2 linked regions of the Caenorhabditis elegans genome follow. The protein of the gene in region 1 interacts with the protein of each later gene in a pairwise test. Each region holds a gene or a part of one and is shown on either strand. Other genes may lie near its edges.

The links. The genes of interacting proteins can lie anywhere in the genome.
Region 2: the proteins of egl-43 (region 1) and taf-9 interact in a two-hybrid assay, tested with the Caenorhabditis elegans proteins (one large-scale study listed by BioGRID).

The regions. Positions count from the first base shown.
Region 1 is NC_003280.10:9,951,997-9,959,265, reverse strand, and holds the start of egl-43 (Zinc finger protein egl-43), read right to left. Parts: upstream 4,082-7,269; 5' UTR 4,081-4,081; coding exon 3,961-4,080; intron 2,256-3,960; exon of another isoform or gene 2,254-2,255; coding exon 2,152-2,253; intron 2,097-2,151; coding exon 1,966-2,096; exon of another isoform or gene 1,919-1,965; intron 679-1,918; coding exon 517-678; intron 1-516. UniProt on the Caenorhabditis elegans protein: Probable transcription factor, required for migration of the hermaphrodite-specific motor neurons (HSNs) from the tail to the gonad primordium during HSN cell differentiation. Required for phasmid neuron development.
Region 2 is NC_003281.10:13,621,816-13,627,964, forward strand, and holds taf-9 (Transcription initiation factor TFIID subunit 9), read left to right. Parts: upstream 1-2,460; 5' UTR 2,461-2,468; coding exon 2,469-2,612; intron 2,613-2,667; coding exon 2,668-2,951; intron 2,952-3,965; coding exon 3,966-4,089; 3' UTR 4,090-4,192; downstream 4,193-6,149. Other genes in the region: hip-1 (STI1 domain-containing protein), read right to left, coding at 1-256, 305-408; mlc-5 (Myosin-2 essential light chain), read left to right, coding at 1,508-1,585, 1,634-1,770, 1,821-1,927, 2,043-2,149; T12D8.5 (uncharacterized protein), read right to left, coding at 4,217-4,510, 4,553-4,601, 4,649-4,713; arrd-17 (Arrestin domain-containing protein 17), read right to left, coding at 5,303-5,402, 6,004-6,146.

The DNA.
Region 1 (7,269 bases):
GTCGTTACTTATCTTAAAATTTTCTTGTTGGCTGTAAGAATCCTAATTAACTTTGCCCGGTTTCCATACATCTCTATTATAAAAACCAAAATTCTATAAAAGGACTCTGTAAACGGGTTCTCATATCTTAGGAAATGCAAGACAAAGAAAATATATATTATGAAGAAGCCACTTCTCCAGAATATCTTCATTTCCTCCCTGGATCCAATTTCCTGAGTCTCTGGAGCACTGGTTTCAAGCATTCTACCTGAGCATAGAAGAGCTTCTCCTTCCACTTCTTCAAGAGGAAGGCGGGAAAATGATGAGCAAATAGAGGGCTCCGTGTCTCTATGCCACAAATGATCCTCCCTCTAATGGAATAGAGAAGGGTGACTACGGTATGAAAACATACAAACAGAGACGCATAAATAGACAAAACACTTTCAAACACCTGCTAAAATACAACAGTTGAGAGAGTGCATTAGCATGATATACCTTGCCAATAACTTTTCCGACTTTTTTTTTCAACGAACTCACCTTGCACTTGAAAAACTCTTTGGACAAACTCCACACTTGTGTGATCCGTCGGGAGGCGTTTGACCAGGTACAAGTTCGCCGTGTTCTCGAATATACTCCTCGAAACCGTTTAGATTGCTGTCTTCACTGCTGCTCTTTGTGCAGCTTTGAGTACTGTCCGGCCTGAAAATGGTTGATTTTCGAAAGGTTAAAAAACAGTGCCTCAAAAAATATAATACGTTTTTAATACTATCATATAGCAAAACCGTATAACACAATTAGTTTGGCTACTCGCTTTTTAAGTTAGGCAGTTTTGGAATCTTGGATGTTATTGGCTTTATCAAAAAATGTAAACACGCATGAAGTTATGTTTTTTTGAATATTCCGTAGTTTCAATTTTTGTTCTTAAAATTTACAGAACTCTTTTTTAATGTGGTGAATAATGAAAGTTCATGACTAAAATAAAAATATGTTTTCATTTTAATTTTTAGCTTTTTCATAAACTTGATAGTTGAATTTTGTGTTATTCTTTCTAGTGTAAAGTGCAATGTCTAGATAGTTTGATACGAATAACGATTTAGAAAAATCTATTAAATATTAAAATTAACCCAAACTTTTCAAATCTAATCGGGCAAGTTCAAGGTCTAACGTAAAAATTGAAACCTAAACTTTTGGGATACCAAGGAATCATCGTCTAAAAATTTAAGAAACATAGAAAAGATGGTAATAACACAAATTAAGTTAGCGATATAAAGATTTCGGAAAAAAAGATAAAAATTTATATTTTCCGCAAAAAAAACGATTGATTCTCAAAAAAGATGCAAAATCTAGATCCGCTTCCTTCCCCCGATGCACACCCCTCAAAATAAATCAACGATTTCCTTTGAGGGGCTCAAATACCCAAAAAAGGGCTCCTCCGGAAACCGACACGAATTTGTCATCCAGAAGCGGTAGAATCTATATGTAAATGAACGGGACACAAAAAAAGCGGGCGGGCTTCACTTGGAGATGCTGAAGGATGTGCTCTTATCGGAAATCCGTTACTTTCACCGCGCCAGTGAAAACTATCGAGAAAACGACGGGAGTTAGAAAGTAGGACGATGAGAAGAAAATGACAGAAGATTTTCATGAAGATTCACATCTTTCTTCCGTTACTTTTCCGTTAGAAATCGAGATTTATTTTCGAATATTCGCCTGTGTAAGACCGACAAAACCGGTTTGAAATTTTTTAACGCTGATCTCAACAACTCAAAAATTAAAGGTATACTCAATCTGCTTTTTAGAAATTGTTTTATGTGTAATTCAAACATCCTTCTATGTATAGCAACACAGAACTTCAAATCATAGAAAAAATTCCGGAAAATTACAGTTTTTGCAACTTGTTCAGTTATCGTTCCAATTTCAAAGGTGAGAAAAATCATACCTTTTTAGCATGCTCTTTTTCTTGTTTCTTTCAAGGGTCATACTCACCGATCTTCATCTTTTAACAAAATTAAATTCTCAAGATCATCCTGATCCTCCTCATCACACTCCTCTTCGGACAGTCTTTGTAGAAGAAGACGCTCTCCAATATTGATAATCTTACTGGTTTGTAGAAAAGTCTGAAATTTTTCTTATAGTTAGATAACTTCCTCATTAAATTTATCTAATAATCACCTTTCTATCCTCCTGCCTCATACAAATATTGGCATCTTCTCCGTCATCAGCTTCCTTAATCAGGTTCAAGATGAGAAGAGCATTCGAATCATTCGGTGTAGCCTAAAATAATAATATTTATAAAATTAATGTAAGTGATTGTTTTTAGTACTTTTTCTAAATGATGAGTGTAGAATCTAGGATCTACATAAATCGTAGTAAAAAAATGTATGCCTGCCTGAAAGGTGACCTTCGACGGCCTCGTGATAACATGGATTAAAGAAACGATTGGCACGCTGGGTAGGTTTCTCTATGACCGCTTGTAAGACAACGGTGATGTCTCTTCGGACTTAATTTTACAAAAAATGGACACGAATAGTTATAAAAAATTAAAGTTTCAAGAATCCCTGTATTTGGCGATGCGTTCTTCAAAACTGCATATCCAAATTTTAAGTTTTCACTTCATTTGATATATTGCGGACTGGAAAAAGATGACGTCACGCGCGTCACACCGTGTGACACCAGTTACAAGACTGCATTATTTTTCCTGCAATCTCTGTATATTTTCCCACAGATCTTCGCAGAAACAGTTTAGTACCTCAACAAGGGTTTTGTTGGGCGTACTGGGTTTCCTCCCTCAATTATTTCACAAATCGCACACATTCTAAACTCATTCTCGAAAAAATCTTATTTCATTTCGGCCAACTCACCACTCTCTGTGCTCCGTGAGCTTCAGCCCAAAAACCCATCAATATCTAATAAGAAGAAGCAGGAGCTGTCGCTCTCTCTATCGCTTCTGGAATCTAATTTTCCCACTGTGAGAGCAGGTGGTTTGCCTTCACCAAGCAACCATAAGCAATCAGTGGCTCTCTCGCAAAAGATGATGAACTTTTTCTTCAGTGGCTTCTGATTCTGAGTGACTGCCGCTTGATGTGGTGTGCGTGCGTGATAAGCCAATCAGTGTGAGAGACCCGTCGCCGGCTCTAGATGATAAACAACTGGGGGAAATACACTAATTCAATGATGGAATTGTGACGAAGTTGGATAACGACGACAGCTACAGTAGGAAATTGACGGCTTGATCAACGGATTCAATCCCTCTCCTTTATTGATAGAGCTCCTCAAATTCTTCTTCCTATGGAAACCTAGCAATTATCCATTTTCCCATCAGCGACTGTATTCATCAATTACAGTCGATCATCGAGTCTCTTTTCCCATCTCGGATCCCCCATCCACCAAGGCACCAGGTGTTCCGATTTGTAAATCCTAATGTAATGGTTACTAGTGTGCCCCCAAGGTTAACAAAGTGGTAATGGACGGGGGGAGCGGGAAAGGTGGAAAGACAGGTGTAAGGAATTTTTGAGGAGAAGAAGCAGGGAGGAACACATGGCGCCAAACATTTCAGGGTCCCGATAATTGCGGTTTTGGGTTCTGGGAAGAATTTGTAATTCGAACGTTGAATCATTAGGAAAGGATTTGAAAATGTTGGCGAAGGTACTGTAGATTAGGTAGATTAGGCACCAAGGTATCAATTTAAAATGCTTGTAAAAATATTTTAAAAAAAGTTTTGTTAATTTAAAAAAGTCATTATTTTATCAATTACAACCTAAAATTACTGTTATCATATAACTACTAACTAACAAAATATGAGTGTAACATCTGAAAGCTTATTTCATAGGTTACTCAAGCTATAAGATATTTCAGTTCAAGCGACCTGTATTTTTTCCGGTGGAGTTTTTTAGACGCCCGGGAATAAGCTTATACTTCTTTTTCTAGCGGACACCTCTAAGACAATGTCTACGGCGTAAAAATTGTACACCAAAAGCTCACCTTATCAATCACACCGATGGTCCTTCCGAGTGCAATTTGAGTTACTGCAATGAGCACATTTCCATGTAGCTCATCCTCCTTTACCTCAACACTCGTGAGGAAGTCTGTGTCGATGCTCATCCTGAAAACTTAGGAAACTGTACGTGGGAAGAAACAAGAACTGTACAAATTACAAGAACAGTTTTGGGGCGAAAGATGAGTAATACATCTTGTGAACGAGAACAATGCAACGAAAAAGTTGGATATGGCTGTTCAAGGCTGGCTTTGTCATTGAGAACGAACAGGGAGGAGGAATGGTACGGTAGATGTACGAATTTGGGATAGGAGTTAGGAGTAAGCTGAGAGATATTGGAGGGAGGTGTAGTTTGGGAAGAGATTATTATTTTATTGAATTTTTTAGTAGATGGTGAAAAAGTTTACAAGCCCAATTCATTTGGTAGATGAACTGTAGGAAATTCGTTTGAGATTTTTCATGACAAATTTGCTAGTCAGTTTTAAAATCAAGAAATTCTTAATTTAGAGATTATTTTTTGAGGGTTCTACACCACCACAATGTAGGATACAATTTTATTGAAAAATTGACATATGAGAAGATTGCTCTTCAAAATTTGACATTCTATATTTGATCCAAAAACTCGAATGTCTCTCCAGAAGTCATATATAGTAAAAACGTCAAGATACTTTAAGGATACTTCAACTAACCAGAAAAAAAAGAAAGGAAGATGGAAAGAGGCGCCTTCCATTTGTGGATGCGAGAGGAGCGAGAGCCTCTCCTGTCTCAAAAAGTGGGCGGGTGGAAGAGATGGAAGACGACACGCCCATCAGCCAATCGGTAGAGTGACAGGATGCTTCAGGTGAGGAGCATCTTCACTTGAAAAGTTGCAAGTTTCGAAAACCCCACGTTACTAAAGACTATTTTAATATAGAAAATTCTTAAAGTAGAATAGCAATTTTTATTTACTTTCTAACATATGTACTTCGATACTTAGAAAAATAAACAAAAGTGAAAATATCTACACCTACTAAATTAGAATCTATTGAGCATTTCTAGTAGAAGCCAAGCCGTTTATTTGTCGGCTGAATGTCTGTAATAAGTTTCCTGATATCATGAGGTGAAAGCAGAAGACAAACGTTTTTTCCAGGAGTAGGCTATCGCGAGACTCCATCGAGGTCGGCTGCGAGTTTACCGAACTGCTCAATAATCAAAGACCAACTTAAAAACTATAACAACTATTGACTTAGTTTGAATTTTTGGAAGTAAATTGCTGGACGGAAAATACAACAGGGTGTAGCAGTTTGCCGCAGCTTTGAAATTATACATTTGAGGACAGTCTAGAACCATCCAAAAAATCAGTGACCCCAGAGTTTCCAGTAAAAGCGAGCAAATGGGAGCTATTTTAAAGTAGAGGTGTGCCCCTCCACCAATTGTGGTCTTCTTCTGACGGATGTGCTGCGCTTTTCTTCTTCATGGTCCTCATCTTTTTGGAAGAAGGGACGGGACAAAATTGCCGCTTCTTTTCTTCTATTCTTTCCGTTTTTCTTCTCCTCATAGCTCCAGGTGAGCGCACCGAGAAGAGCTTTTATATAGGAGTAATAAAAGGTGGGCTCGTCCATTCTACAGAAAAATAGAAGAATGGAAAAGTTGTGAGGAAAATGGAAAAAAAGTTAGAGACATTCAAGTGATACAGTATTAAAAGTGTCATAAGTGTAGAAAGAAAACGGTCACATTTTGAAATGAAGAATTGTTGAACAAGAGTAAAATATTTCGAAAACCTTGAAAATTTAAAGTTATGGTGCTCATCACTTGACACATGATGTGCCATTAGAACTGATAATAATGATATGATAACAAAAAATGGAACTTTTTTTCTGAATCGGAGGCAAAAAAAACCTCGCGTAAGTGACAATTTCCCATCGAATGAGTGTTATCAGATAGTTTGGAAATTTTGTGAAGACGATTTTTCCAGAGAATTTTCCAAAAGGTAGGCTGCCTACTGTCTATTCTTTTGAATTTTAACGTGAAGTTCGGTGCTTGAAGTTCACAAAGTTACGCTTACCGTATTTTCCTTATTAGACGTGCACCCCCATCACCATATTTTGGCGGTTATTTTTTTAACTACTAAAATATAGTAATTTTGCATGTTTTTTGTTAGTTGACAATTTTTAAAGAAAACCAAAGACAACAGAGCTATTTGAAGTGGAAATAGATCTATATATTTGGTGGTATGCACACGCGAAGGCGGCATTTTTAAGCCTATTAATAGTAAAATCTAGAGGGTAGCAAAAAGGTAGGATGACGCATCAGATGACATTATTTACTGCCATCTACCCAAACCTAAAAGTCTCGAAGTCACTTTCACACTTGAAAGCATTTAGACGTCCATTTTACGGAGATTTTAAAGAGGCACCCAGTCGCTGCTCCGGAAGAAGAGGAAGAAGCAAAAGAGAGGCGTGGTTGCGAACCGATGGGAAAGGTAATGATGAGCTCAGTTGAGCATGAATATGAAGGAAAACGATGTAGAAAAAAGAAGAAGAAGAAGAAGCTGTGCTTTTCCCATGTGTGTCTGTCTCTGTAGTGGCAATCTGGATGGTGTAGGCTAACACAGAGGAGGAGCAGGTTTTGCTGCTCTCAGGCACTTGGAGTGAGGAAGGTGGACACTGAATAGGGGGAGAGGAGAAAAAAGGTGGAAGAGAACAATTCATCTCCAGGTACGGAATGGATTGATGAAACTGAGACAAATAAACAATGGTTTTGTGAAAAGTTGACTTTCAGGTTCTAATATGATGGGACAGTCTGAAAATAATTTTTTTTTTCAAATAGTTACCTACCGTATTTTCCAAAAAATACCTGCACCGCCTTAGTTCTATTTTGGCAGCGTATATCTCGGTTCTTTTTGCTTTTATAAAAAAGTGCCAATTAACAAAATACGTGCTAAATATTTTTCTACATTTGCATTTTTGAAATTTTTTGATAAACGCAAGACAACCGAGATATTAGCCTTTAAAGTCAGGCAGTAGAGGCGCACGTCTAATAGAGAAAATCCAGTAGATCAAGCATAATATGTGTTGCTCATCATTTGAACAAGAATTATAGATGAACCTACAGTACCCGTAAAGTACTTGAAATCGAAGCAGATGATAGCATTTGAGATGGAATCGAGGAAAGGCTGATTGAAAAATAGAATAAAGCAGAGAGGCGGCAGCTGATTTCATTATCTCGTGAGAGAGATTTTGATAAGAGATTCTGATAAGAGATTCTGAATCCTTAATGAGCTTTTGCGTTTTCAGATGAATTCCAAGTAATATCGA
Region 2 (6,149 bases), on another chromosome or scaffold:
TCCTCTCTCCTCGGAGGCCTTTTCGATCTCATCCTCGGTGGCTTCTTTGGCAGAGTCTCCCATTGGCAAAGCCACCGCCTCTTCTGGCTCGATGACTCCCTCGTTGTCAATTTTCGGGAATGGAATCTCCTCCGGCTTCGGGATTTCTGGCTCTGGAGTTGCCTCGGCGGCTGGAGTTTCCTTCTTTGGCTCCTCAGACATCGGGCACTTTCCTTCTGGCTTGTCAGCTGGTTTTGGGGGAAGAGTGGCTCCAAGGCTGAAAATGTGGCACATGTTTGAGCTGAATTTGTACTAGAAAACTTACGAAACAAGGTAATCCTTAAAAAATCCAAATTCCGGGGCGTGCAAAACCGCCGGGTTCGCTTGGCACATGCCAACGAATTGCTTGAGCAATGCGACGTGGTCCATTTTCTGGAAGGTAAAAGCTTTGGAGTTTATTTTAAATCATTTAAAGGAATAGGTTAAGAATCAAAAAATAGAGAATTGAAGTGTTTATTCAATTTGTTTGGAAGTGTAAACAATATTGCAAACAGCACGTGATGCCGCCAGAGGTGTTCCGACTACGCAAAGAGGGGATTTAAAGTGAAAAATAGATAAATACCTGATAATTTAGATCAAAAAATTAGAATAACGCCTTTTAAACCAAAAAACTCCTTTGAATTATCGAAAATTCTAGAAATTCTCGAGAAAAATAAATTTCAAAACAGGCATATTCTGTGCATTTGCGCGTGGGATCTAGCGCCCGTTGTGCATTGCGCCATGGCATTTGAAATTGGCGCCCGAAAATTTTTTGTTTTATATCAATTTTTTGGCTTATCGATAATTATCCTTGAAATTCTGCAGAAAAATAGATTTTTCTGTAAAATTTCGCAGGAATTGTATTCAGCACGTAATGTGCATGGTTTCCGTGGCAACTTGGGCGCTCTTTGCTTCTCTGTGCTCTATGCTCATGCCGCAACTCGAAAATTCGAATTTTAATTCTAATTGCCCTCTGTTAACCCTCTTTTTCCCGCCGGATAACCTCCAAACTATTGGTATCTTGTCGATGAATCGGTGAGAAAAAGTTCCGAACAACAAGAATTCGGGATGTTGTTCTTCCTCGCGTCTCCACCATCTCCACACACTCTCACGCGGTTGAACGGACAGTCAGGACACCGCCGCGCGGGGAAACTGCCCGTTTTGGTCGTCTCTTCTGCTGTGTGTGTCTACTATTCAAATAAACTCGCCAATCGATCGCCATTTCAGTTCATGTGCGGTGAATAATGTGTTGTGAAACTCGTTTTTCTCGGGAAATAGCCGAGAAAGGCTGAATTTTTGCTTGAGAATTTCTGGAAGGCATGAAATGTTTTCAGCTCTCTTCGAAAATCTTCTACCGCCCACCCATTTTCCTCCCGAATTGTTTCGTCCCCGTGACTCATTCTCTCTTTTATCGCCAACTTCTCACTCACTGATAATCGATTTTCGTTTTCATCCCGTCTTCTCAATTTTCCAATTTCAGCTGTGAGAAATGGACGATTTGGCTGATTGTCGTGAGGTTTTCGCCTATTTTGACAGCAAAGGCGACGAGCGAATCTCTGTTCAGCAGGTTTTTAATTCAATATTTTACTTTTTTAATCCAAAATTCATATTTCAGGTCGGTGATGTGCTCCGCGCGCTCGGCCAGAACCCAACAGAAGCCGAAATTCACAAATGTGTCGGCTCGTTCGATCGGGAAGCTCGGCTTTCATTCGAGGACTTTGTCCCAATTTTCCAGTCGGTGTCCAAGAATCGGTTCGTGGCGAATTTTCAGTTAATAAATTTCAATTTCTACATAATTTCAGTGAAAAGCACACCGTTGAGGAGTTCGTCGAGGGGTTGTCGCATTTCGACAAGGAGGGAAACGGAATGATCAATGTCGCAGAGCTCCGACACTTGCTCACCACTCTTGGTAGGATTTTGAGTGAATATTATCAAAAAATTAATATATAAGTAGCTTTTCAAAAATGTTCTGCTGGTCTATACAATTTTAAAGTTTACCCCAATTTTATCAATTTTTTTTCAAGGAGAACGCCTATCCGATGAAGACGTCGATCAATTGCTCTCCGGACACAACGATTCTCACGGAAACGTCAATATCTCGGATTTCGTACGCGCTGTCATGAACTCCTAAAAAATAATCGAATTCAGCTGATGTAAATATATCATTTCCATTAATTTCCTCGGCATTTTCCACACAATCTATTTATTTATCGACTTTTTTGCATCCGTTAATTCTATTTCTTATTCGCTCTCTCCCAGTTCACCAAAAAAAACTTGCAACGATTCAGTGAACAACTTTGTATCCTCCGTGTTTTAAGATGAATTTTTCTAAATTTTAATTCTAATTTCATAATTTTTGTATTTCGTGTTACATCTCACATGATATTTCTGTATTTCCTCTCCGTTATTTTTGTGGGGAAATCCATATAATTGCATTTTCAGAAAGAAAAATGGCAGATACAGGAGAAAAAGACACAGAAACGACGGCAAGTGGTACCGATGGACACAGTAAAGAGGCGCTTGCTGTAATAAGCATGCTCCACGAGTGTGGAATTCAAGAGTTTGATCCACGCGTCGTTTCAATGCTTATGGATGTGAGAAAATACAAAATTGAGCTCTAAAAATTCAAAAAATAATGATTTTTTCCAGGTTCAATACGCAGTGACGTCAAAAATCCTCCAAATGTCAAGTGGACTGTCCAGGCATGCTGAAAAAGCGCAAATCGAGGCAGAAGACGTTCAAACGGCGGCCGACATGCTCGGCGTTCTGACCACAAACGCTCCGGACCGTGAGAAGATTCTGCAATTGGCGAATGACAAAAATCAGCAGCCCCTACCGCAAATTCGACACAATTATGGCCTGAAGCTGCCCAACGATCGATTCTGTCAATTACAGCAGAATTTTGTGTACAAAGCTGACGACAGTTATCAGCCGTACGTTTTTTTTCTCGATATATCTTGAAAAATCTGTAAAAATTTGATTTTAAACGGAAAGAAGGTATTTTAAAGTGGAGTACGACCAGTGGGGAAACTATTAAAAACCATTCCTATGGTTCAAAAATGACAAAATAACAATAAAAACTCACAATAGAACTTTTAAAAAAATTATGATACTTTTCCTTTTTTACACCGCATTTTTAAATGAATATTCAAAACATTGAATTATTCAAATTTAATTCTCACGTGAATCATTTTCAGGCTTATGGGGTTATTCAAGTAATGTAGCAAAATGTATTTAAATACATTTGTGACGTCACAAATGTATTTAAATACATGTTTTTATATACTTGAATACAGTTGTGACGTAATTAATCTACACTTTTTAATTTTCCGACACTACTTGAATAACCCCATTAGAAAACAAAATTACAGAAAAAGTTCACATTTTTATCCAAGAAAATGTTCCAGAAAAATGCGGGGTAGAAAAGGAAAAGTACCAAATTTATAGAAGATTTTTTGTTTCAAGTAAAAAAAGGTGTTGTTTGGAGCCACCTTTCGAGAAATCGAAAACACTTTCGCATTTTCGTGCCCCCAAAATAATTAAATATGAATGCATAAGACATGGAATAAGTTTTTTTTAATCGATAACTTCCAAAAACATTTGTTAAAAACTAAGTTTTCACCGCTTTTTGAGCCGAAATATAAATTTTTTCCGAAATTTTCATTCTAAAAATTTACAGAAATTCTATATTTAAACTTGTCGATTTTCAATGCTTTTTGTGGCTACTGTCAGTTTCATTTGAAAAATATTGATTCAAATTTGCATTTTCATCTCAAAAATTGTTTTTTCGAATCAAAAATACAAAACCTTGACACAAAACTAAAAGTCACATATTTTCCGACAATATTCCATTTAGTTATTGTTTTTAAATCTTTATGGCATGCGTTTTTTTTTTCTGTAGTAAAATGAAATTATACATATCAAATTCAAAATTTTCAAGTTTTCAGAATGGAAATGCAACAAGTCACCCATCAGCCACATATCATCGAACCACCAACACAAGTGCTACGGCCGGAGCATGTACAGAATATGCTCAAGCGAAGAGCTCCAGACGATGATTTTGACTCATAACTTTTTAATTTTGTTTTTTTTATGCCATTTTCTACTTTATCTAATCAATCCTGCCAATGATCTCTATGAAACCCAGATTTTTATTTATAAAATTCAAAAATTTACACAATTACAATTCAAAAACAATTCAATTATCCCCTCCACCTGTCACCGCATTTTTCAGCTCACTCGTCGACTCGACAATTTTGTTGGCTGCCATTTTCAAATGATCGTAACGGCTAGCCTTACGCATTGGCGGAACCTGACCAGCTTCCATGTACGTTTCGGGTGCGATTTCCGGAGCATCCACGTGTTTATTGTGCTCGGCGAGCAACTGCTCAGCTCGGTCGATCTCCTGTTTCAAAAGCTCGACGCGTTCTTTGTTGGATTGCGTCTCGCTTTCGATTCGGCATTGCTCCTTGCAGAGGTCGTATTCGGAGAGCTTCAATATATCCAAGTTTTTGGCTAAAAATTCAAATCCTACCTGCTTCTGGGGCGGCACCACCTTCTGCACGTAGATAACCTTCTGTGCCCTGAAAAATCGATAAAGATGGAAAAATCAACCAATAAACTGGCTCACTTTGGTTTTTTCGACTCTCCGAGGCTACATACGGCTAGCAGAAAAACTGCGAGAAGGAATTTCATTCTGAAAAACGACACGAATTAAGTTTTAGCATTTAAAACCCCGAAGAACTTTCCAAGTTGAAAACAGTATGAAAAAGTAGGTCTCTCAGTGTAGGCATGAAAATGCTTGCCTGCCTCGTGTCTACTGTCAAAATACATGTAATTAGAAAGTAAAATTAGAAACGCGTAAATCTATGCAAACACCGGACACTTAATCATCACAGAAATCAGACTATAGGCAGGCAGGCAGGCATTGAAGCTCACTCACGAAAACTTTAAAAAGTTGAATGAAACTTATCTCCTCACACCCTATTTATAGATAAAAATGCAAAACAACAAGCACCAAAAACCGTATGACCGTCACCAATTGACGCAAACCGACAAGACATTGTGTGCTCTGAGAAGACGCAGACCTCACCACGGGGTTCAGGTGATAAGGCTTTTTAGGGAATTGTTTGTGATAGTGAATTAGGGAATCAGAAAATATGTTTTTTAAACTTGTTTTTTAAAAAAAATCTGAATCGAAAGTGCAACAAAATTTGAAAAAGCATGGAATTTATTGATTATCCCCTCCAAGCGAAAGTAACACTCGAGACAAAATGATAAAATATTAATCGGTATAAAATGGATATTTGGGCGCAAATGAGGCTTCACCGAACTGTGCTTGCTCCTTCTCCTCTGATATGTCACTGGCGCCGAAGAATGATTCTCTGAAAAATTTCAGGGAATTTGTAAAAACTATAAAAATTTTAAAAACTAAAAAATTGCGTATTGCGCAACATATTTGACGCGCAAAATATCTCGTAGCGAAAACTACAGTAATTTTTTAAATTACTACTGTAGCGCTTGTGTCGATTTACGGACTCGATTTTCGGAATAAATTAAAATCAAGCAAAAATGAGAAAATAATACGAAGAAACGAAGGAAAATGGAATATCTCTGACATTAAATATTTGTAAAAAAATTCATTTAGACAATCAAGCCCGTAAATCGACACAAGCGCTACAGTAGTCATTCAAAGAATTACTGTAGTTTTCGCTACAAGATATTTTGCGCGTCAAATGTACGCATTCCCTGAGTTTTGTGTTCCCGTAATAGAAGTAAAAAATTGTGGCAGCATATTTTTTTTCCTAAAAGGATAGTGCAATAGCTGCCAGTCTGGAGTATCAGTATGCGCGTAAGATCTGGCGAAAATGCGCGTAAGATATGGCGAAAATTCTCATCTTTAGACGTCTACGTAATACCAGAAAATCGAAAAATGAAAGTTTAAGTCCCCAATTTTAAAGCACCTAAGTTTTTGCCCGAACTCACTTATAATACGGGCTCGGCATTGTTGGATACAGCTCGCTGAGGATCGAGGAGGGCATTCGTACTCGTTTTCGAGCTGACAATAAGGCTTCCATTTCGTTGCCGAGTTCCTCCACCAGCTGACCACTCTCATCTGTGATTGTCACCTG